Linked DNA regions of Oreochromis niloticus. Each later gene encodes a partner of the first gene's protein in a complex. Links are inferred from orthologs where the notes say so. Each region holds a gene or a part of one and is shown in the gene's direction. Other genes may lie near its edges.

Region 1 (7,463 bases):
GTTGAGTCCCTCACCCTCTCCCGCTCCTCGGTCGAGTTTCCTGGATCTTAAAACTGGTGAATAAGCACCGGTTTCTTGTACACCTCTCCACCCCTCCATATTCTTCCACTGGGTTTGCTGTTCAGCCTTCACTCTTTGGGTAACCCACTGCGTGTTTTCTATATAAAACTCATGTGGGCCCTATGTAGACTAGCCCATGAAAAGCCCATAGCAGTTTGGCTATTCTGGGGTTTCTGGGCAACCGATAATCAACTTATCCTCAGAAAAAGTTCACTGCCCCCCATTTGATTTAGGCCCTACAGTAGTTTTACCCTTCAGGCCCCCCATGAGTAGGCAACCCACAATGGGTGTGCCCATAAGAGACTGATGTAGAGCACAGGGGCTATCGACCATGTGTGGACACACCCACTTGGGTGAAGAGGCCATGCTACCAGCAGGTTGGCTTCATGCTAAGCTAAGCTAGCGAATACCTAAACATACAGTGAAGATTAGACTATGAAATAAGACGTTACCGTTAAGTTATTTATTAAATTGAGTACACAGATAAGCTACACAAAACACCACTGTGTTTTGTAACTGCACCGCAGAGAGACAACACCAATTCCTCATCTCCAAAGCAACCTCCGTCTCACCTGGACTCCAGCCCTTTGGCCCCTCCTCCGTTCGTGTCTGTGGGAGGTCCGATGACACATCTGGATTTAATCATTAGTTTTTATTAATCTCTGGGTCTCTTTCACAGTCTCTGTCCTGTCCACTCACCCCAAAGCAGTTGCAGCAATGGCCTCCCCACCCAGAGCCTGGTTCTGCCAGAGGTTTCTTCCTGTTAAAAGGGAGCTTCCCACTGTTGCCAAAACGCATATGTCATATGATTGTTAAGGTTTTCTCCGTTTTCTCTGTATTATTGTAGGGTCTTTTTACCTTACAATATAAAGCGCCTTGAGGTACAAATGGGATTCGAGTAGTACCCAGTAGTTCAACTTTTAGTTGAATTGTTAGTTTGCATGCATATCGATCCCTCTTGATCGATTGGTTCATTTGCACTTGTGGATCAGTGGATTTCAGTTTGTGTGCCAGAGAAGGAAAATATTGTCTACAGCATGGATATGGATATTACTTTTATTTTTTTTTAAATGACGCAAGGTAAAATGAGGTAGGTAATTATGAGACAGTGTGTTTCAGCTATTTTATCAAGTAACAAGTAGGGTAACAAATTACTTTTAAGAAAAGTCTTCTGTGTAATATGTGTAATACATTACTTTTTTTGACTAACGACCCCAAGACTGATCACAACAAAGATGAGAAATACCTCGAACATGCACAAACATCTGACATGCACACAATTCATTTGCAGAATATAATGTCTTTGATATGTTGCTGAGTCCCAGAGTGAAACCAATAAGAAACCAATAAAACCAGCAGGTTTAGGAACAGCTTCTTCCCCACAGCTGTCACCCTACTGAACCCTGCTGACCCTTTCCATCCACACTCACTTAACCCTTCTATGCTCCTCCTCCCCCCATCCCTCCCAATGACCATGATCATGACTGTCATTCATTCTCAACATTCACCACATGCTCACATTGGTTGCTGCTATAGTTTAGGACACTGACAGAGTCTCTGTTATAGTGCCTACACTGTTCACTATTATGGTCTGTTCAGAGCTCTACGCTTCCACTGCTGTAGATATATTCATAGCACTCTCTATATCTGTTTACCTCACACCGCTACATCTGTATATCTGTCCATCTGTACAGCAATATAGAACATCTGTATGCTATAGAGATTATCTGTATATACATATACATATGAATACAACATTAGGTCTGTACATCTGTATATTTGGTCTCTACTTAACTTATCTGTATATAAGCTGCTCTTATTGCACTTACTGCTCTTGCACTTCTGATTAGATGCAAACTGTATTTCTTACCCTGTATTTATACATATGTAATGACAGTGAAGTTGAATCCTGATTGTTTTTGTGATTTGGCACTATATAAATAAAACTGAACTGAATTCAAATAAATTAAATTTTGAATTGAATTAATTAATATATAGTGTAAAGGACCATACACCCATGGGTGTATGGTCCTTTACAATTAATTAATTCAGTGAGCAGAAAGGCCATGACACACACGCAAGAAAGCGAACAACAACAAAAACAGGTAAATGGGCAGCAGCAGCAGAAGCATTGAGGGAGATGAGTTTCAGGCTCAGGCTGCTGTCTCAGTGCAGAGTTTCCAGCCTGAGACCTCCTGTGGTTCTTGTGCTGACAGAGTTAGAAGAGCAAAAAGACAGAAAATGCAGTCCACACCTGTACAAGCTTGGAATAGGTAAGTGCATCAGGACATGAGGCGTGGTTGATGATGTTTGACAAGTGTCATCAGTTACTATGAAACCGTGTAATCAATATATACTAATATTGTAATATTGTATTGTAAGATTAGTGTGGTACAGTTGTTTAAAACTGTAAGATAAAACAGATGCTAATAATCATCAGGACCACAAAAGCAAAGCACTGTTTACAAAACTTCCTACATTTGCTATTTTAATCTTTATTTACAGCTGTATGTCACAAAAATACAGTTTTTCCCCTGATTGTTGTGCAGTTATCATTTTATCATAATAGGTCATAAGTAAGTTTTGAAGCCCTTTTTTTCTGATTTTATATTGTTGGTTGAAATAACAATAAGATATAATCATTTATCATTAAGTGCTTATTCCTGGTTAATAATATGTTTCCTAGCCTAACCTGTCATCTGTTTAAAACACTACTAATTTTCTGTGGAAAAAACACTAACATGTTTTCATTCACAAATTCATATGATCTAAGGACGCTGATAACATACAGTGTCATTCTTCAAAAACATTTTACCTTTTACACGTGCATGTCAAACTTATGCGCTGATATGGGCGCGGCTAGCGCATTTTGCCGACTTCCGGGAACTAATACGAGGAATTAACCATGATGACGCGCGTCTCCAATCTACGGCTCTGTGTAGCTGCGGAAAGGAGGTGGGGGGGCTTTTCATAAAGACTGGTTGGTTGGCAGATAAAACATGGCAGGTCAGCGGACCAACAGCCTTTGAGGAAGACAGGAAAACCCTCCCACCAAGTCTCTGGATGGTGCATTTGGGTGAAGCTAACCAATTTAGAAACAAAGTCTTTTAATGTTTTAGTAAGCGGTTTTCTACGGAAGCGTAGAGCTGCCACCCAGGCAAAAGAAAAATAGAAGTATATCACGTTATAACGTGATATACTTCTATTTTTCTTTTTTCTCTTTTTTCTCTTATTTGCTGTTGCATCTTGTGATCATGTTCTGGAGTTTAGTTTAGTTCCACTTTTTGTTTTTATGAGTATTTGCTTTATTGTTTTAATCATAGTTCATTGCTATAATTCTGAAGTAAATATTCTTGGTAGAATTTCAGCTGCTCAGCCGCACAGGCTGCCATTTTTATACGTTTTCTATGTTTCTATGCACTGTGTTTATCTCCCAACACTTATGTTACTGTGCAGCCATGATGATTTAATACATCCAAAATATGGTGTGACACTGTCATGGACTTCTTAACAATGTGTTATTTTAATTTTTTTTCTCTTCCCCCCCCCCACACACATTTTTAAGTATGTTTTTCTTTGTTAAACTGTACATTTAATAAATTTAAAACACATTTGTTTGAAAAAGAAAAAACACATTTTTTGTCTGTGTCACTGGGCTCTTTGTAATTATTGCTTTTATACACAGCAAATAATATGAAATAAGAAAAACATAGAGCCGATTAATAAAAATAACAATAAGTTGTTGTCGGTGACACAATAGTGAATCACAGCCCCCTTTGAACCAGTAACAGCAATAGAATCAGTAGACCAAAAACTAGATAGAGAGATACTTTATTGAGCCCACAAGGGAAACTGCTGCACCTGGTGAGAGCCTTATACTATGAGATTTATAGGAATGATAAAAAACAAAGAAAAGTAAAAATTAAGTTAGTTAAAAACAGTAAAAGTAAGACTAACATTGTGTAAATGATGCAAAGTGCAATGAATTATATGTACACTATAAATCTCAGAAATACACCTGCATGAAGGTATAGTACAAAAATTGTTTTGGGATCATCTGAATGAATAGTTATGACACAGCATTATAGAGAATAGTAAGAACCAAGCTGAATCAATCTGACGGAGAGGGAGCTCTGCTGAATCATAACTGTGGAGTAGAGACGGTGTGATGGGTCAGGGAGACCGGTTTGGAACTATTTGGAAATAATTCATTCAGTGTCCATCATATGTTCTTTTAGTACTTTATTTTTTTCTGATTTCATAATTACACTTACATAGTTTTACTTTAATAACATTTCAGATGTAGTATTTCTATTTGTAACAGAGTAATTTTAAACGGTGGTAGTAGTGCTTTTAATTTAGTGAAGAATGCAGATTAAGCGAAACCGTAATATTTCCCAGCTCGTTGTAGGTCCGTGAAGTACACGAAAACTTGGTCAACAAGCCGCCAGTGAGCGGCTTTTCAGCCCGGGACTTCTTCCTCAGATTGGACGGCGTATTATCGCTTCTTTGTTACACAACTCGGTAAAGACCATCAGAAACGTGTTTTTAGCTGTTCTCCACTAGGAGCGAGTGGATGTGGGCTTTTTTGATTTTTATTTTACTCTCTAAGAGTTGAGTGTGTCGATTTACACGGTGAGGAGTACACTTCCATGTGGTCAGATTATCAGCGCGTCTAACAAAAGACCCGCTCACCTCCTCTTGTCTCCTACCACTCGGTTAATCTCCGCCGCGTTCACAGTCCGGGTTCCGGGTTTACTTTACTTTGATGTGTTTGGTCAGAGTTTAGGTCTGATATTCGGATATTGTGATCCAGTTTCCTTCTTCTTATTTTCTAAGTGCGGCCGGTGGAAGCGGAGCTGAAAGATGCCGCTTCTCCACAGAAAACCCTTCATCCGACAGAAACCCCCGGCGGACCTACGACCAGACGAGGAGGTGTTTCTCTGTAAAATTACGCACGAAATCTTCAGGACCTACGAGTAAGTACCTTACAGCCACTTGTCTCACCTGGGGGGTTCTTTAAAGAGTCACTTGAACTGAAGTTTGAACTATGTCTCATTGACAGTTGGTGCTTGGCAAACTTCCAAACAAGATGAACAAAAAACAACTTTATTGTCTTGAAAAAAAAAAAAAACCAAGAAAACTTTTGTGGGCTTGCGCGGGGGGATGCATGCCCCCCCTTCTCCCGCGCCATTAAAACGTAGGTTAAAGCAGGTAGTCGGGTTTGAAGGTGGGATTTGGCAGGTGTAATGTTATCCAAGTCAGTTAGCCAAATGAAGCTAAAGTGGGTTAGCTGGGTAAGCTAACACTAAAGCTGTCAGTGAGCCGGCGGTTAGCACAGCTAGTTTTAGCTGTTAGCTTGATGTAGTGAGGCTCGGTATCCGTTCATAGTTCAAGTCTGTTGCACCCACCTGCTGAGGTCCAGCGCACTAAAAGTGCTTTTTAAGAGCACACATGAAGTTTGCGAACTTACTCGGTCAGTTTTCCGAGGGGAAAAAAATCAAAGAAGTTCTCTGCTTTTACTCCAAAGTGAAGTTACAGTTCCGCTAAACTCGACGTCAGTCTGAAGATACTCGGGCCAAATGGACTGTGGACGTCTTCAGCTGACTGCTTCAGTATATCGTGGCAGATTTGAGTACAAATTTTAGGTAACTGTACTTAAACATTATATGTAACTTCATACATCTGCTCCATTGTAACATAGTGGCAAATATGACACGACAAGTCCCAACTTCTGTTTTTTCTGACAGCTTTAGCAATAAAAAACGGTGCAAAACAAAAAGTGGCAGACCTCAAATTTGCATTCAAGTAAGATAAACCTTTGCCTTTATTTGGCTTTTTTATATAGAGACATGCTTATATTTTTGCCATAGAGTTATAATATGTGCAGATTGTACTAATTTTTCATTTGATGAAGTTAACATGGTGTAATCACTGACTGCATTTACATGTACACTTGTATTTCTGAGCATTATTCATATTGGCATACTGTACAAGTCTTAGAGGAGCCTTTGTTATGATATTGACAAAACTGAAAATTACTTCTGCATATAATTATTATGATTGATGGATCTGCTGGTTTGTTTTCTAGATTAGCACCTGCATATTTGTATCCCTCGTTCCCACGTATTGAAACAGTTCCCAATATTTTAACTGCCTCTAGTTAAAAGTCAAAAAGCCAAGTAGGTTCAAAAAGAGATTCACATTCTGTGGACGTCTTCTCACTGAAACCCAAAAGTGACTACAAGGCAGTTAACAGATGTTGCATAATTGATAAAGGCAAGCTTGGGCTTCCTAATGTGCGTTTTGGGGGGCGGCGGTAGCCTAGAGAGATGATTGGGAAAATTAAGTTCAAGTAAAACAAGAACATACAAAGAATGTAAAATTACACTAAAGAAGGAGCAAATATATCTGTCTACGTATACAACTGATGACACACCTGTAACCTGTATCATTTGTGTTTATTACGCTCTCTGTACAAATGTTTGTTGGGATCTGTTCTCCCTTTCTGGGAGCTAATCAGATCATTTGATTAGTTTTAATCAAGTAGATTGTAAATCTAACAGATTTTAATAAACTATGAAGAAACAGAGTTTACTAAAGAAACTTGAAGTGTTTCGGACACACAAACCTTACTTGGCCAGTCTCTCCTGCTACATTTTTCAATTTTGGATTTTAATATATACTTTTAATTTGTCTTGAGACAGCGTTGCATTGGCTTTAGTAAGGGATACCACCCTCAGTCTTATTTTGGATGTTTGTCTGCTTCATAACAGTTAGGCTGTACGGTACAAGCCTGTACTACAGAGCAGAAGGTTGAATTATCCAGATAACTTTACTGTTAACCCTGGAGCTTTCTGGTTGCCTAATGTTTGGGACAAACACAATATTTATTTATTTATTTCTGTACACCACCACAGCCTTTTGTAAATCAAACAATATAATGTTGAAGTGCACACTTGCAGTTGTTGTGGGGTCTTTAACTTAACATCTAAAGTGTCTTGAGGTGACTGTTGTTGTGTTTTGGCTCTACATAAGTAAATACATGTAAAATTCAGTGTCTGCCTGAAGTCTACAACCAGTTTCCTCCTTTGCATTGGTTTGCTGGACCTTTACTGCAGCCATCTTCAGTTGCTGCTTGTGGGTTATTCTGCATTCAGTTTTGTATTTGACCTCCTTGGACCTGGCGTCCACATATGTGGACATCACATTTTGGGTTATTTAGACCAAAATACTAAAGTTTGCTCTACAAGGGCCTGATATCCACTTACAAGGACATTATGCTGCTACTGTTCTATCGAAATTTTAAACGAATATCCTCATATGTGGATCTCATATTTCTTAGAAACAAAAATCAGGTAAAAAAAAAAATCAGGTAATTCTTTGTTTTTACATTCATCAGG
Region 2 (8,102 bases), on another chromosome or scaffold:
CACCCTCACCCGTCTGGCTGGGGCAGGAAAGCAGTCCCAGATGTGGATTTTTTTTTTCTTTTTTCTCTTTTTCCCCCTCAGTGAAGTTGGGCATAAAGACCTCGCTGTCTGGAGGGGGGTGGGTGTGCTGAACTTCACAGACTTGGAAGTCTCTTTATAGAGATGGAGGAGGAAGGGTGGAGAAATAAATAAACGACCACCTTCCAAACATCTTTTATGTCTCCTGGATAGATGTGAGCAGTTTGTCCCCAAGCTGGCACGACTGAAATGAAGCCCTGGACGCTGTGTTAAAGGCGTTTAAAGAGGCAGTGCGGTTTTTTCCTGCACCATAAGAACACATGTATTTGGCTTTAATGTTGCCTCATGTGCATTTATTTATTTGTTGAAAGCAGCTTACACAAAATGTGATTTTGCTTTTTGGGCCCTACATTATTACCGAAATTACTAGTAAAACCTGGCTGGTTTCCGGAGCTGAATAGTACCCGGGCATAACTGCACCAGCTTCAGGTCTAACCTCTTTTCTGTCAGCACCAGATCAGCGCAGTGATACAGGAAACGTACCTGAGGTGAGCGAGTTATAGGTTAGCTTTTTTAGAATTGGTTATTAATATAAGAACAATTACAAAACTCATTACCTCTGTCAGCTTTCTTCTGCATATGTGGCTACTCTGCGACTCTCTCAGCACACTGGAAGCCAAACTCCGTCCTGTAGAGGATAAAAGCAACCATTTATTTTTTTAAAAGAAAAGAAAAAATATTAATAAATCCATGTACAAATGAGCTATGACAGCATGTGTCTTTTCTGTCTTACCTTCTGGACTCTGCCTGGGCTTCGAAGCTGCCCAAATAATGAGATGACAATGAGCGCTAGTGATAAGACATTTCAAGTATTTCATTTCTAATAATAATAAAAAAAGAAGCTAACTAGATGTAACTTCTCACCGTGTTTGGACTGGAATTTGCCCATACTGTGATCAAGAAATGTTCACCATGTCCAGCCCAGAAAGGAAAAATAACTCAAGACATGAGGAAGAGTTTTCGCGGACTGGGAATTTCACCGACTACTCCAAAGTTTCACCGAGACGTTTATCCAAGAGTGCACAGGCAGAGAGAGGGATGACTGCCGCGCACTTCCTGCTTCGGTTAAATTCGGTTTGATTGGTTAGAGATCTGTGATACACGCGACCCAACCTTACGTCTGTAAATCAAAGTAACTGTTTTTATTGTGTGCGCGTTTAAACAACTCTGGACAGCATCCGACTGAGAAACGGACACAAACCACCGACTTAAAGACTTTTCAATGAGACGTTCACGGTCAGAGCTTCACTGACACAAGTGGGTTCATTCCAGTCTTTAGACACCACCAGTCTCTAACATTTTGACATAAATCAAACGTGACATTTGTTTAATCAGGATGCTAAAACAAAAAACAATCAGATCTCTCTGTTAATGTTTTTTTTTTTAAACATTTATTTGTATCATTTTTTTAAGGAACAAAAGACAAATCACAGGCAACAGTAGTGATGGAAAAGAGCTTTTTGTTTATTATCAAATACAAAAGTAACATTTCTATGGAAACTTGTTTCTGCCACTGGGAAAAAAAAAAAAAAGTGGTGTAAACAAGTTTCCATATGTTTCAGCATCACAGCTTGTGAATAACTTGTTCACAAAGCAATAAGACACATCCTTACCATCAACTTACAACTCGCCTTGAAATGTGAATTAATGAGCAGAAAACTCCAAAATCATTATCTCCTTAATAAATGAAGGAATCTCTGTATGCATTTTTCGTCTCTTCCCCTTCAAACTTGGCGGGTGTATGGACTGAGGCAGTGCCAAGTTTGATGTAATTCGGGGGGTGTCTCATTTGTGATGCTTCTTCCTGTTACTAGTCATTGAAAGACCCCGTCGCTCCTGTTGCTAGGCGTCACTAAAAACAAATGTCACATTTCAGACCGTCCTGTATCCTCACAGATGACACAGTCCTCCCAGATATCAGCGTTTATTACATTTAAACTTTATTTACATTTAAACCTCCACTGACTGCAACATCTACCACTGCAGATACTCTGCTGATGTGCCGGCAACTGCAGACCCTGCACTAGCATGATGAGAATGTACATTTATTTCTTTAAAAACAGAGTCCATGTCTTTAATCACAGTCCCACTAACTGCTGGCACTGACAGACTCTTTGACAGTGTGGGCCGGTGTGGGTCCTATGTGGGTCCAGATATAGCCTTTTTCTGGTCGTATTGGGATAGTAGGGAATGGGGTGCTCCGAGACTTGAAGTACTCAGAGGGGGCGTGGCACACAAACTCCAAATACTCCATCTTTCTTGGCAGATCCTCCTCTGGACCTATTGCAAAACATGTTTGTTTGTTTTTTTAAAGCTTAAATGAACAAATTCCATTAGAGCACTGCATGATCCAGAATAACTGCTCACCAACAATATAAGTGCCAGGATCGAACTGGTCCTTTGGGCTGGCTTGAGTGGGGATGAGCCACGTCAGTGCTGCACTTTTTTCACAGTACTGATCCTGCACAAAGCCTCGAATCTGAGCGTAGTAAGGCTTCCCGTCTTCTTCATCCGTTACCTTAATCACGTCTCCTATCTGGTAGTATACACCCTGTGATATATTGACAGTGATAAAGGATTAAGGTTTATTAAAGCAGTGATATAATTAATGCTTTGAAAAGATCAGAGCAATTTTAAGTGAAAGTATTGTTTCTCATGCCTGGCAACAATAAACACCGTACCTTATAAAATATGGATTCTGACGTGATGATAGTCGCTACGGATTCTGGTGCTTTGATTGGCTGAAAGGTTGGCACACACAAGGGTCAAACGCATGAACTCGAAAAGAAAGAAGAAAAATCTAATTTACATGATCAAACTTACATTTTTGAGTTTAAATATGTGTCGTCGTCCTTTTCCTTTGGTTGAGACTTTTTTCTCCGATGCAGGAGCTTTGTACTTGGTGCTTCTCAGACGTGCAGACCTTCTGTGGATCTCCTGCTTGGACTATAGACAAACACAAGAAGGGATCGGACAATTGACTGCAGCTTGTCAGTTGAAGAAGATGAAGAAAAATAAGCAATGAGACAATACTAAGACCAGTACTAACAACTACCAGTTTGTTTGTTAGTTAACTGATTAATCACTTAATATGAAAAATATTTCAGTAAAATGTGAAGCTATGTAATGTTTAAGGCATATAGTTTTACCCTTTAAGTTGGATTTCACTTGATAACAGACTGCTACATTACCAATTTTACTTAAAAATAAGGGTTAAATGATCTTGGGGGTTTGTTGAGATGTTTCGCCTCTCATTTAAAGATTTAAATACTTTCACTTTGTAGAACAAAAATGACTTTCATTTGAAGCATCACTTTTTATGTTCTCCCATCTGTATTTGGGCACAGGCTGCTGCACAAGAGCCTGAAAGTTGTGCCCAGTGCTTTCTCAGCCAATTATTATGATCAAATCTGCAACACCACATTTAAAACTCCTGGAGTCACACCGGCTTGTTTCTGTTAAACTGCTAAACTGTTTTACACATGAACAGTGAAGACTACAGTCTCGAAATGAGACCTGTGCTCTTCTAATAACTTTAGAAAAAATTCCCACAGACAGTGATCCTGAGTATTTAAACTGAAATAGAAAACCTTCCTATTTCAGCTGAGTGTGGTCTCCGGGAGCGCCATTATATTTTCCCTGTAGGATTATCTGTGAATGATGCAGCTGCAATGTCTGCACACAGCTCCAGCAGTCTAAAACAGAGCAAGAACCGCGCCTGAAGACAAACTCATGAGGCTTTACACCATCACAAACAGGCCTGGCTCTAATCTAGAAACACTGGGTTTCACTGACCTGTTTCCCTCCGCCATTGCTGGGCTGAGTGATGGAGGACAGGGAGGGTCCTGACGCCCCGCCGCTGGCGCTCTTTCCCGTGCAGCTGTTACACAGGATCTCTCCCTGGTTTCCTTTCTTCCACATCGAGGAAGAATTAGTCTTGCAAACGGCGCAACATGGTTTCAAACCCAGCGGCATCGTGGCCGCTTCTTAAAACGACGCCGGTGGGCGAAGAAACGACACAGAACTCACTGATAGGATGAAGATGCTCCGTTTGTGTGGCTGTGACTCCGACAGGGAGGCTGAAATCTTCCTTCTGTGGCACTTCGACTTTAAACAAACAGGTATGGCTCTGAGTTACTTGCGAGAACAGCCAAATTGATCAGAAACCTGGATTGTTTATATCTGTAGCCCATTTATAGCCACTACTAGCGGCACCATTCTTCTTCTGCGCTGGCGCCTGCCATCAGTTCTTCTTCTTTGGTTTAGATTTAGGTACAGGACTAAATCACGCGACGCCACTGGACTGGAGGACACAACGTTTAAAGAGGCAAGTGAGCTTGTGAGAGTGTGAAAATGTTGATTAATTTAAACCAATCGTGTTGTGGTAGTGATAAATTACGATTGGTTAAAACAACACAATGAGTAGGTAATATGTTTAGCTGTTTTTCTCAGATGCATAATGTACAAATTATTTATTAATTTGCCCGCTTGCACAAAATGAGTCTTACCGTTCCACTTTTTACTAACTTAATTTTTCTTTTACTTTTTTGAAATCATTGTTGTATATGTAAATTTTGATGTATAATGCCCTCACTATGCGCCTGTGACACTGCTGTTTATTTATTGTAAGTTGTACTATTTTTATTCATTATCCTGCTGTAACAAAGTTACAACAAATTTCCATTCATTCATCCACCCGTGTACAAAGATAAAAGATAAATATTTTAATTAAAGTGTTTTTATATATGTGTGTGTGTGTGTGTGTGTGTGTGTGTGTGTGTGTGTGTGTGTCAGCTTGTAAAAACCAGCCTCTCCGGCAGGAGGCGATGTTACAGCGTTGAGTCCGCCAGACGGTTTTAATCTGGTCAGACGAAGAAGAAACAAACCGCGTCACAGTTCAAAACAATACTTGGAAGTTCCGCTTGTCTCGCGCCCTGCTCTTATGAAGATGTCTCAAAACAGCTCAGGCAAAGACGACCAAGCGTCAGGCAGCAAAAAGCCGATCTCTCTGCCGATATCCAGGGTGAGGCTGATCATGAAGAGCTCCCCTGATGTCTCCAGTATCAACCAGGACGCTCTTTTCCTCACCACCAAAGCTACAGTAAGCTAAACCTCATCCGCAGCTCATTCATTTGCTAACACGTTTAGCACCGTTAGCTTGTCTAGGGCATGTGAGCTGAAGCAGCGCGTTTGTGTCTGTCTCCTGTTGTTTTGTTGTTGTTTTAGGAGCTGTTTGTACAACACCTGGCTCTATCCTCCTTCAACAACGGCTCAGGGAAGGAAACAAACAGCCTGTCGTACAGCGACCTGGCCAACACTGCTCAGGAGACAGAGACTTTCCATTTTCTCACAGGTAAGAAGCACCTGCAGGCACCTCAGCGGCCCTATGATGCACCAGCTGGTTACAGATCATACCTCAGACTGCACAGAGTCCAGATTGTTAGGAACAGTGAATTAATACTCCTGCCGTTGCTCTACGCACTGACTCACACAACGTCCGAATAATCGATTAATTTCCTGTTTCACACGATGTCTGAACCTACCTGCAGTGGCCTCACCCACAGTCTAAGAACTACTGTAATGATAACTGATCAGACTTTGGATTATTAGAGCGTTTAATGTGGTAACATAACCCAGCATCAGCAAGTGTAGATAAATGGGGAAACTGTGGTTCAGTTGTGGTCGTGTGTTTGCAGTTTCAAGGGATTTATGCTTCTGTTTCAAATCTACATCATAGAAACGCAACCCTAGAAATGTAACAGCTGTTCCATCACATTATTGTCTCCCCTAAATTGCTTTTGTTGTGTTTTGTGCACTTCTAGCTGCACCTCTCAGGTCCACTGTAAGGGACAAATATGTTTGTTTCCAAAAACAAAAACAAAAACAGAAAATAACTGACCACAACAAAAAGGAGAAAAAATAGCATTTTATTTGTTTCTGTCATAGCTGGTACTGCATATAAAACACTGGGACACCACCCTCAAGTAATAAACACACAAAACACCACAAAAGCATCAAGACTGGTAACAGCGTCAGCCACTTAAGTACATTACCCTGTAGGCTCTACAAAAAAATCATCGCAGAAGTCTAAAGGGCAAAATCTGGTTGAGCTGCGGTAGCATATTTGCAGTCCACTGGCAGCTTCAAACTAACTGTCTACCTGCAGAGAGCATCTGCTGTCAGATGCATCAAAAACATGTCATGTAACCGGTCTGTGGGTCTTTCTTGTGCTGTTGATGGTCCGTCAGCTGACTGTGGAAAAGAGTGAAGTTATAACATACAAAAACCCAAAGAGAAACTGAGTGTTAAAAGCAATCAAAAGTGTCCACTCCAGACATTGTCTGTGCTTTTTATTCTGTATTTCTGATCTTTGATGTTTTTTCTCCTCATGCTTCTCCCGCTCCTGGCCTGCCTGTTAACATGTGACCCTTGCAAAGCGAGCATTGGTTGACAGCCCCTGCCTGTAGCATCTCTGTGGTCAAATACAACAACAAACGGACATGATTCCATAAATTAAGCATAAGCAGGAGGGGTACATCAGGAACGGCATCTGATAAAACATTTGTACCAAATCAAACACGCAGATCAATCCGCTCTGGTTATCCCTTAGGAAATAAGGGAGCAGCTGACAGTACCTCCACCAGCTGAACACAAGAAGACCAAATTAATCGATTAATAAAAAAAATAATTAAATTAACTGATTAAGAAAAGAATAAGTATTAGAAACGCTGCTTGGTATGATGTAGTATAAACAAAAAGGCTCTAAAATCTCCATAAAACTAAAACTCATTTTAACAGTTTTAACAAAAATCAAAAGTTGTAACCTTCAAGAAAGGATGAGTTAGTTTAGCCAGCTTTACTTTAAGGATTATTTAAAGTAGCACTGTTTTTAAGTCTCTCAGGCACTGCTTTAACCCTTAAACACCATCAATAAGAGTTTTATCTCTCTCATAACTTCATTTTATCTCCTGTGGTGTTCTTGGGTCTGTATCCAAACAGCTCACACTCACTCACTGCTTTGTTACTTTTGAACGCCGGGCTGTCTGAATCCAGCGATTCAGGGGGTTTAAGGTGGAAATGCTCGGGCATGTTGCTGCTCGTTTTGCCTGTGATATCTGCGGTACTTCTGGCTGCTCAGTTGTTTTGGGAGAGGTCACCAGAGCGTGCATGTTTGATTTGGCACAGAATTACACTGGCTGCCCTTCCTGATGCTTTCCTTCTAGCCATTTATCCAGGCTGGGGGCAGAGACTAGGTGTACACCAGATTGTGTCCCCTTCTGTCGAGGCTTTGTAAGGCGAACATGTTAAACACTACACCGCGGAGCCACTTGTGCTCAGCATGTGTCTTCTGGACATATGATGATGTCAAGGTTTTAAAAATGGCTTTTCTGTAAAAACATTTTGTAAACAGTTTGTTATAATCTATAAAAAGTGAAATATCAGATGCATTTTAAATATACAGAAGCTTAAACATTAATGTGAAAGTAAATTTTAGTGCAGCTGTGCAGTGTGTCGACTCTTTGACAGCCAAGTTAAAACCATCTGAGTCTTCCTAATACTCTTGTGTTAATATCACTCACTGACCAGCAACAAAAAATGAGATCTTTTCCTTCAACTATGCATTTAAAAAAATTTTTTGCTTTGTTTTCCTGGACAGATATTCTGCCTAAGAAGATCTTGGCTCAAGATTACCTCAACTCTTTGGAGCAAATGCAAGAAGAAGAAGGAGCTGATTACTGAAACAGGTGGATGGTCCACATTTTCCATCTGGACAGATGTTATCACATCTACTCGTCCAGCCTGTCGCCGAAAGCAAAGTGACCGTCAGTAAAAGACACTTGAACTCTCAAGTTCATCTTCAGGGCTTTTGTAAGAAGTTAGAGGACATGGAACTAAAAGCAAACCCACACGGGGTCAATGTGAAATCAAGTGAAGACTCAAATTTCAACCCCCCCCCCCCCCCCCCCCCCAACAGTAAATGAAGTTCAGCGATCCTTTTCTGCAAACTGACAGATATATTTTGT
Region 3 (8,173 bases), on another chromosome or scaffold:
ATCAAAAGTCCTCAACAACTCCTGACGTTTTTCATTCATTAGTTTAGATACATAATTAATATTATTTTGGATCCATTTCTTGTAAAACATTGATTTATTTTTGTATTTAATGTTTTTGTTATTTCAAATAAGAGATTTATGTTGGGAAAATTTATGTTTGTAGACAAGAATAGAATAGAATAATGCCTTTATTGTCGTTGTCACATGTCACATGTCACATGTATAACGAAATTAAAACTGGAATAAAACATAAATAGCAAGACAGCACCAATAAATGACAAACAGGAAAAATTAACACAATCAAGAGGAATATAGACAAACCATAGGAATATATATAAAACAATAGAACAGCACACATTGGAGAAAAAAGTGCTTGGAAGTAGTTGAACTGATTGAGGTCAGTTGGTGAGGAAGTCTTTGATCCAGGAGCAGGTGGCACAGGGGATCTGAAGGTGAAAACACAAAAACGTGCAGAGTAGAAGCCAACATGATAATGCCTGTCTGTGAAAAATAGATAAGTGAATGGGAATTTTGTTGACATCAAAATCACATTTAAGAAGGAATTCTTAAGGTTTGGTGTTAAATATCATAATCTATGTTTGTCTCTAATGAAATATTTGATCCAGTTCATCTTGAATATCACATCTGATGTATTGAAATCTAACATATTTAAACCCCCTTGATTATAACGATTATTTAGTACAGATCTATTTAAATAATTATATTTATTTTTCCAGACAAAATTATAAAGTGCAGAATCTATGAATGATTTAGGAACAGAGATGGGCAGTAACGCGTTACTGTAATCTGATTACTTTTTTCAAGTAACGAGTAATGTAAGGGATTACTATTGCAAAAACGGTAATTAGATTACCGTTACTTTCACGTAGGAACGCTGCGTTACTGCGTTACTAAAACCGTGATTTTTTGCGAGAACGTCTCATGACAGTGACGTAAGCGAGTGCGACGTTCGTGACAACAGCTGTGTGCAGATCATAATATATCGAGTGCGGGACAGAGTGTAGCATGCAGCGTTTAAAGCGTGGAAGTACTGACCTTATTTTGAGTTTGATTCCATAAAAAGTGACAAAAACATGTGTCCGTTGTGCGTGGGAAGAAAACTTCTTTTTACAGCGAAAAAAACCCTAAACTTCCAAGCAAGCACCGAGTGTACCACGACGTAATGTGAAATTCACAGAGAAACTCGCGGATTCTTCCACTGACCGCTGCAGCACACCTGCACCAGGGTAAACCTCCGCCTACCCCAGTCCTGCTTTACAGGTGAAAATAGAGCAACAGGACCGCTAGTCTTTGATTTTATTTATTTTCTGCTGTGTTTTACTTGCATCTATTTGAAAGAGTGAGTGTAAACACACAAAAAATTTTATTTTATGTGCTGGAATGTGCAGAAAATAGGTTTAAATGTTAAACAAATTTCTTCCAGTCAGAGAATGTTGCATATAATTTAATTTTTGCTTGATGCATAAAGTTAAAAGATTAAAACTAATAAAACAAGTTTTAAAAAGAGACTTTTCCATTTGATTACATTTTGTATGATGAATTATGCAGAAAAAGTAGAACTGGCCTGGAAGATCTATCGCTTTATCACCTATTCAGGTTGTAAATCGTGTTTTTAAAAAGTAACTAACTAAGTAACTAAGTAATTAATTACTTTTGAAAATAAGTAATCAGTAAAGTAACGGGATTACTTTTGGGGGGAAGTAATCAGTAATTAGTAACTGATTACTTTTTTCAAGTAACTTGACCAACACTGTTTAGGAACATGTATTACTTTTGCAGGATATACTAAGTGACATAATCCCTCTGTTTTAGATGAAAGGATTCTTTCCCAAAACACTGATTCTGTTCATTTGGACGTAGTGTTTTCACTCAACATTTATACACATTGTTAGAGCAATGGCTGCAACCTACAGCCTTTAAATCACTGAGCCATGATTAAAATGCTGTCTGTAAACACATCAGTCCAGATGTTACCATAATAACTTTCTGATACTTAAGTGTTAAAAGAACTGAGAAAGGGTGATTACAATGATAGCTGTCACTTTTATCATTCCTTATATTACTGCCCTCTGCCAAGGCAGAGAGTAGAAATGACATTACTGATTTAAGTTCATTTGTTGTAATTACACAAGAGGACACATTCATTCTCAACTAGACACAGCCTCTGACCACGGTATGTTGAATCTTAGCATTGAATGTTCAGTATATGTAGCATTTGACCATTTACTGCACCTACATCACTTATATGTAATCAATGTGTGGTAAACATACAGATAGTGAAATTTAGTTATTTATAAATTATATGTAAAGAAAACCAAAGCTGAAATGGATTCAGTTTTTTAATTTTCCAGTGTGCCCTGGCTATAAAGGCTCGGAATGCTGTGATGTAAACAGTAAATAATGTGGAAATACACACAACTTTGGCCCGTGAAAAATCTGATCTTAGATTGTTGAATATAAACAATGAATGCATGTAAAGCAGAAACTGCACATCCAGCATCAAGAGTTTGGTAAAGTAGCATGAGTACTGTAAAGTTTTGGAGGATCCTGTTGAAAGTCACACACGCATCACACCACATCTGCCAAATAAACTTTCACTTTATACAGTACACTGTTGAAATTCAGTTCTGTCCCAGTTAATTTTACTGTAGTTAGTCAGTTAATGGATGTCACTGGTAAATGAGTGGTGAATTTTACTTCAAGTGTTTTTAACGAACTGTTTCTTGTTTTTGAAGAATTCATCAGCAGATGTGGAGAGATGTATTTAATTATCTTTTGTTCCACTTTTCCTTACCTGAAGCTGAGGATGGCTTCATCCTAACAAAGAGACAAACCTCAGCACTTTACGTAGGCGTCACATCCTCCGTGCAGCAATTCCAGAGAGAGATCAATGACCACTTGTTAAGATCAGCCAAAAATCTGTCCCCAAGCAAGATAACAGGGAACAGACAAAATAATAAATGCCTTAATTTTAGGTAGATGATGATGAGACCTGTGGCAGAGTTCACATCCCTGAGCTGGTCTACAGAACCAATAAATCCAACGTATAATAAGAAAGTTTACATTTGTAAAATGCTGGGTTATGCATGAGTTACCTCTGACCATGTGTCATCATATTGGGATATTACATTCTGCCCCTTCATTGCGCTCAGTTAAGTGCTTTAAACTCTGTTAAGATATAGCAGCTTTGGGTTGTACCTTTTAATTGAAGGTGATTAGGAGGAGAAATTAGAAATGTAAACACCAAACCAGATTTTGGGTGTTAGCAAGATGACCTGTGATCAAAGGGGTCAGTTTCACATATTATGTAAGAACTTTTATTCTCGCTCAGTTTTAGTGAGAATTTCCGCATCTAACAACGACTTTTTCAGCCTCAAAAAGTTGGTTAAATTCAAGTGGACACAACATTTTACAGTGGGAGAAAAATTACACAACTCATCCGAGAACACTTAAGTAACTTGGATGCGTAATAAAACATTTTTGTCATGGAAAAATTTCCAGAGGAACTTTTAGGCATATCCTTACCTGGGAATAATTCATGCATTCAGACATCTGTTGTAGTTTTTTTCAGTTAGCATTTCTCTTTTCTTATTCTCAGCCTTAGCAAAAAGTTTTTAAACTATCTGCCAATCATCAAACCAGAAGATTATTCAGCCAGGTATTATTCTTGGGAGTTAAAGAGTGAAACTGAGCTCAAACAGTGAATTCACTTTAGATTGGAATTCATACGGTTGAAAAAATATACCAGTTTAGCTGGATGAGGATGTTTTCTTTGATGTCTGCTGAACGTGTAATTAAACAAGTTTAGACTTGATATTCACCTGGTCTGCACATTAACATTCAGTATGACTAGTGATCTGTACATTTACAACATAATGCAAAATGGAAAAAAGTCATTTATGTGAATAACTTTACTCTCCCTAAATATAACTCATGAAACAAGTAATAGTACAAATGTGAGGAAGTTACAGACTTCATTCTTAATAACTGTACATGACTCTGTTAGAAATGATTTGAATTGTGTGTTAAAGGAGAAACAGATTAGGAGGTAAAGCAGAGGACACAGAGTCAAACATCACTGAGGCAGTCTCTCCTGCAAGGTTGAAGGTCTTCCTGTGTGGGAGCTTGATGCTAAGTTCAAAGTGCTGTCAAAGCTGTAACATCCTCCATGACTGTGGTATGGAACAGATGTGGGTGTTTCGTCATCTCCCTGAGTCCAAGTTGTTGTCAACAAGCAAACCTACACACCCAAAAATCACTTGAAAGTGTCCACTTGAAATGATAAAAGTCAGCCAAAATATCAGCAGGGATTTAATAACATAACTTTATAAAATGAGCTCATTATATTCATTATATACATCACAGCATTCAGGGCGTTTATAGACACACACTACAGAGCACACAGAGAAAATTAATCAACTGAATCAATTGGTCTTCATTACATACATTTTTATTAATAACTACATTTCATTATCTGTATCATTACCACACATTTGACTACATACAGGTACTGCAGGTGCAGTAAATGGATAAATGTTACACATTGCACTACGTGGGACATTCAAGGCTAAGATTCAACATACTGTGTTAAAGGCAGGGCTGGACTGGGACAAAAAAATCAACCCGGGCATTATGACTAGAGTACCCACCAGGTATTATAGGAAAAGCTATAAAGCCTTTGAATGGAAACAAATGCTGTTGTAAAAATAAGAATTAACTGTAATTCTTGATCTTAGTATGTTCCAAAATGGAGGATATTTCTATCGTTGGTATGAAATGCTTCCTTATTAGTTAACTTGTTAATCACAAGTCCTTGATGAAGACTTTCATATTTTATTTCATTTTTTATACTGTGAAAATTAAACATTACACTTACATTACACTTTTACGACTACTCTTGAATTTTTGCTCAGTTTTATGCATTTATTTGTATCAAAATATTTTTACATAATGACTTTTTTGCACCCGTTAACAGCGGACATACGTCACAAGAAGGTCAGAGGTCGAAGTTTATTGCTGACGTAGGAGCTTCGTGGTAGTTGGAAGATTCGCGGGAAATGTCTGAAAATAAGTCGACTCTGACGTGAACGCGTACAATTTCAACCGGAGTTTGTAGTTGAACCTTTCAGACTTAACAGATAAATATCAGTGTCTTCATATAACGTACGCCCTGAAACGGAGGGAGTTTTATCGTGGGGTTGCTGAACTGAGTAACTCCACGCACACAGCATTGTCAACGACGCTAATCGGTTAGCTCAGCGGTAACAGTCCTCCACAGCCTTTTAGCAACGATAACGGCTAAATCTGTTCTCCTAGAGCGGCGGAAACAGCGGTGCACATACAGCGGGCCCAGATAAATGCACATTAAACAGTGAGAACAATGGCAGAGAGGCCAGAAGACCTGAACCTTCCCAACGCGGTAATCACCCGCATCATCAAGGAGGCGGTGAGTGTGAACATCGAAAGACGATAGCAGTCACAATGTCGCGCGCGGTTTGTCTTTTTGTTTGTTTTATACACGCTGAGGATGCTTAAATACGCCAAACAAATACAGGACGCAATTCTGGGAGGTCGCCGGTGACCCAGGTTAACTGTTTTTTACGTTAACCGGTTAGATTTGCTTATGTATTCCACTCTCCGTTTTTCAGATGTTCCATCCGCTGTCTTTCTGTAACATAAATAACGTGCTGACATTTCCCTCACGACACCACCGATCAGCTCGCCGGTGTTCCAGATTATCTGGCGTGGCAAATTAACTGGTGACTGTCGAACAGATGTGTGGTAGACTTGCTTTTAAGGAGCCGCTACCGACAAACCAGCAAAAAAACACTAAATATTTCATCTGTGACATTTGTGAGGTTATCTCAAACACAGGCCGTCCGCCTTGTTGCTGTTGAACAGCAAGATATTTAAAAATGTCGCGAGTTTACCTGGTGATATTCTCATGCACGAGGAGACCGCGAAAACCGCAAACAAATAAACGTCGCCACGCCGATACTGTTCACAAGACAGCAAAAGTAAACGATCTGGAGAATCTCGTCTTCGTTATCGTTCCCCTCGTACATTTTATTACTCCGATTTCAGCGTTTTCGCTTCACAACTAAAGCGTGCAGTTTACTTTGTGTGCACTCAAATTGAGTCGAGTCAACTAGCGTCACCTGTGGCCAAGTGCCATAGTCTAGAATCTAGACTCTAGATTAACTTGTAACACACATCTGCACCACGTTTGAATTTGTTTCGTGCACAATACGTTTGTAACTTTCATTTTTTTCTGTTTGTGCGTCTTGCAAATAAACCTTTAAACTAAATGAAATGGTATTATGTAATTATTTTTGGCCAAATTATATACACAAAGTTATAGAAGTCACCACTCCCATTGTTCATAATGATTTTAATATTTTTTCCCATAAGGAGATGGCAGGTACTGTGAATTATTTATGTTTTTTCTGGACTTCCCCTGTACAGAAGGTGACTACAAATGTTCTGAATGCTAAATAAACAGGAAAAAAAAAAGATCCCTGTTGTCTTTGCTTAATGACTGGTTTTAGTCCTGACAATCCACATTGCTGGCATTGCATCTTTCCACATGTTTGGGGGTCGATTTGAATGCTCCAGGTGTAAGTGCAGCCGTGTCACAAGTTCATCTGGTAGTAGGCTATGGCACTTGGCCACAGGTGGCAGTAGTGGACTGAACTCCATTTGAGACCGCTCCAGCTGCTATGTGATACGTCAGTCATCACTTGCATCATATGCAAGTTCTGGAAATTAAATTATGAATATTCTTAGCTTAGCTTTAAAACAAAAAAAATCAAACTCACCTCAACACTCAAAAACTTATGACAAACCAACTGAGACACCTGAGTCACTCACTTTTTTAAATCCACTCACTCTCACAAGCTCTACTCAATCAGACTGGCTCTGTTTATTACTAATCACTGTGTAACTGCTGTAAATTCACAGTAACTCCCATCTCCTTACAAATGTTTGTTAAATTAACCACACTTATACAGACTGTATATAACTACCAACTCTCTCCAGCCATGTTGATGTATTACCTATATTGGATCAAAATGTTCATTTCCAGAGAAAAAACACAGGCAGACTATGCTAACAGGATGTGATGTTACAACACTAGGGAAATAGTAATGTGTAATATATTTGTTCAAGACATATTTCTTTGTTATGGAAAAAAATATTAAAATCATTATGAACAATGGGAGTGGTGACTTTCTACAACTTTGTGTATATAATTTTGCATTTCCGACTGATGTAGGCCAAAAATAATTACATAATACCATTTCATTTAGTTTAAAGGTTTATTTGCAGGACGCACAAACAGAAAAAAATGAAAGTTACAAACGTATTGTGCACGAAACAAATTCAAACGTGGTGCAGATGTGTGTTACAAGTAGACTATGGCACTTGGCCACAGGTGATGCTAGTTGACTCGACTCAATTTGAGTGCTCACAAAGTAAACTGCACGCTTTAGTTGTGAAGCGAAAACGCTGAAATCGGAGTAATAAAACGTGCAAGGGGAACGATAACGAAGACGAGATTCTCCAGATCGTTTACTTTTGCTGTCTTGTGAACAGTATCAGCGTGGTGATGTTTATTTGTTTGCGGTTTTCGCGGTCTCTTCGTGCATGAGAATATCACCAGGTAAACTCGCGACATTTTTAAATATCTTGCTGTTCAACAGCAACAAGACGGACGGCCTGTGTTTGAGGTAACCTCACAAATGTCACAGATGAAATATTTAGTGTTTTTTTTTTTGCTGGTTTGTCGGTAGCGGCTCCTTAAAAGCAAGTCTACCACACATCTGTTCGACCGTCACCAGTTAATTTGCCACGCCAGATAATCTGGAACACCGGAAATCCTGTTCACCTGTTTAACAACACTTGCTAATTCAGGAAACACAACTACATTAACTGGTGACAGTCACAGTTTAATGTGGGCAGCGGCTGATCAATATAACGTAATGTCCCACAATATTCTGCACAAAATAAGCGAATGTGGCTTGTTTCCTCAGTGCAGAGCTGCTGCAGTTTGTGTGCCCCTTCAGAGTGACTCATGTGGGTTCAGGGCTCGCAAAATTTCAAAATCCCTGGTAGCCCTTCGGGCAGGCACTCTTCAGTGTTTGGTAGCCCAAAA

The links.
Region 2: baz1a (region 1) and chrac1 share a complex: the UniProt entries of both Homo sapiens proteins name them as parts of the CHRAC ISWI chromatin remodeling complex. The link is inferred for Oreochromis niloticus from reciprocal best matches to the Homo sapiens genes BAZ1A and CHRAC1.
Region 3: baz1a (region 1) and pole3 share a complex: the UniProt entries of both Homo sapiens proteins name them as parts of the CHRAC ISWI chromatin remodeling complex. The link is inferred for Oreochromis niloticus from reciprocal best matches to the Homo sapiens genes BAZ1A and POLE3.

Annotation. Positions count from the first base shown.
Region 1 is NC_031983.2:2,740,707-2,748,169, reverse strand, and holds the start of baz1a (bromodomain adjacent to zinc finger domain protein 1A), read left to right. Parts: upstream 1-4,435; 5' UTR 4,436-4,584; exon of another isoform or gene 4,585-4,695; intron 4,696-4,899; 5' UTR 4,900-4,926; coding exon 4,927-5,039; intron 5,040-7,463. UniProt on the Homo sapiens protein: Regulatory subunit of the ATP-dependent ACF-1 and ACF-5 ISWI chromatin remodeling complexes, which form ordered nucleosome arrays on chromatin and slide edge- and center-positioned histone octamers away from their original location on the DNA template to facilitate access to DNA during DNA-templated processes such as DNA replication, transcription, and repair.
Region 2 is NC_031985.2:21,144,938-21,153,039, reverse strand, and holds the start of chrac1 (chromatin accessibility complex protein 1), read left to right. Parts: upstream 1-4,935; 5' UTR 4,936-5,020; coding exon 5,021-5,179; intron 5,180-5,304; coding exon 5,305-5,431; intron 5,432-7,735; coding exon 7,736-7,818; 3' UTR 7,819-8,102. Other genes in the region: protein naked cuticle homolog 2, read right to left, coding at 636-706, 812-838, 943-967; gatad1 (GATA zinc finger domain-containing protein 1), read right to left, coding at 2,168-2,358, 2,446-2,629, 2,760-2,819, 2,902-3,024, 3,874-4,053. UniProt on the Homo sapiens protein: Forms a complex with DNA polymerase epsilon subunit POLE3 and binds naked DNA, which is then incorporated into chromatin, aided by the nucleosome remodeling activity of ISWI/SNF2H and ACF1.
Region 3 is NC_031965.2:5,276,334-5,284,506, reverse strand, and holds the start of pole3 (DNA polymerase epsilon subunit 3), read left to right. Parts: upstream 1-5,006; 5' UTR 5,007-5,401; coding exon 5,402-5,467; intron 5,468-8,173. UniProt on the Homo sapiens protein: Accessory component of the DNA polymerase epsilon complex. Participates in DNA repair and in chromosomal DNA replication.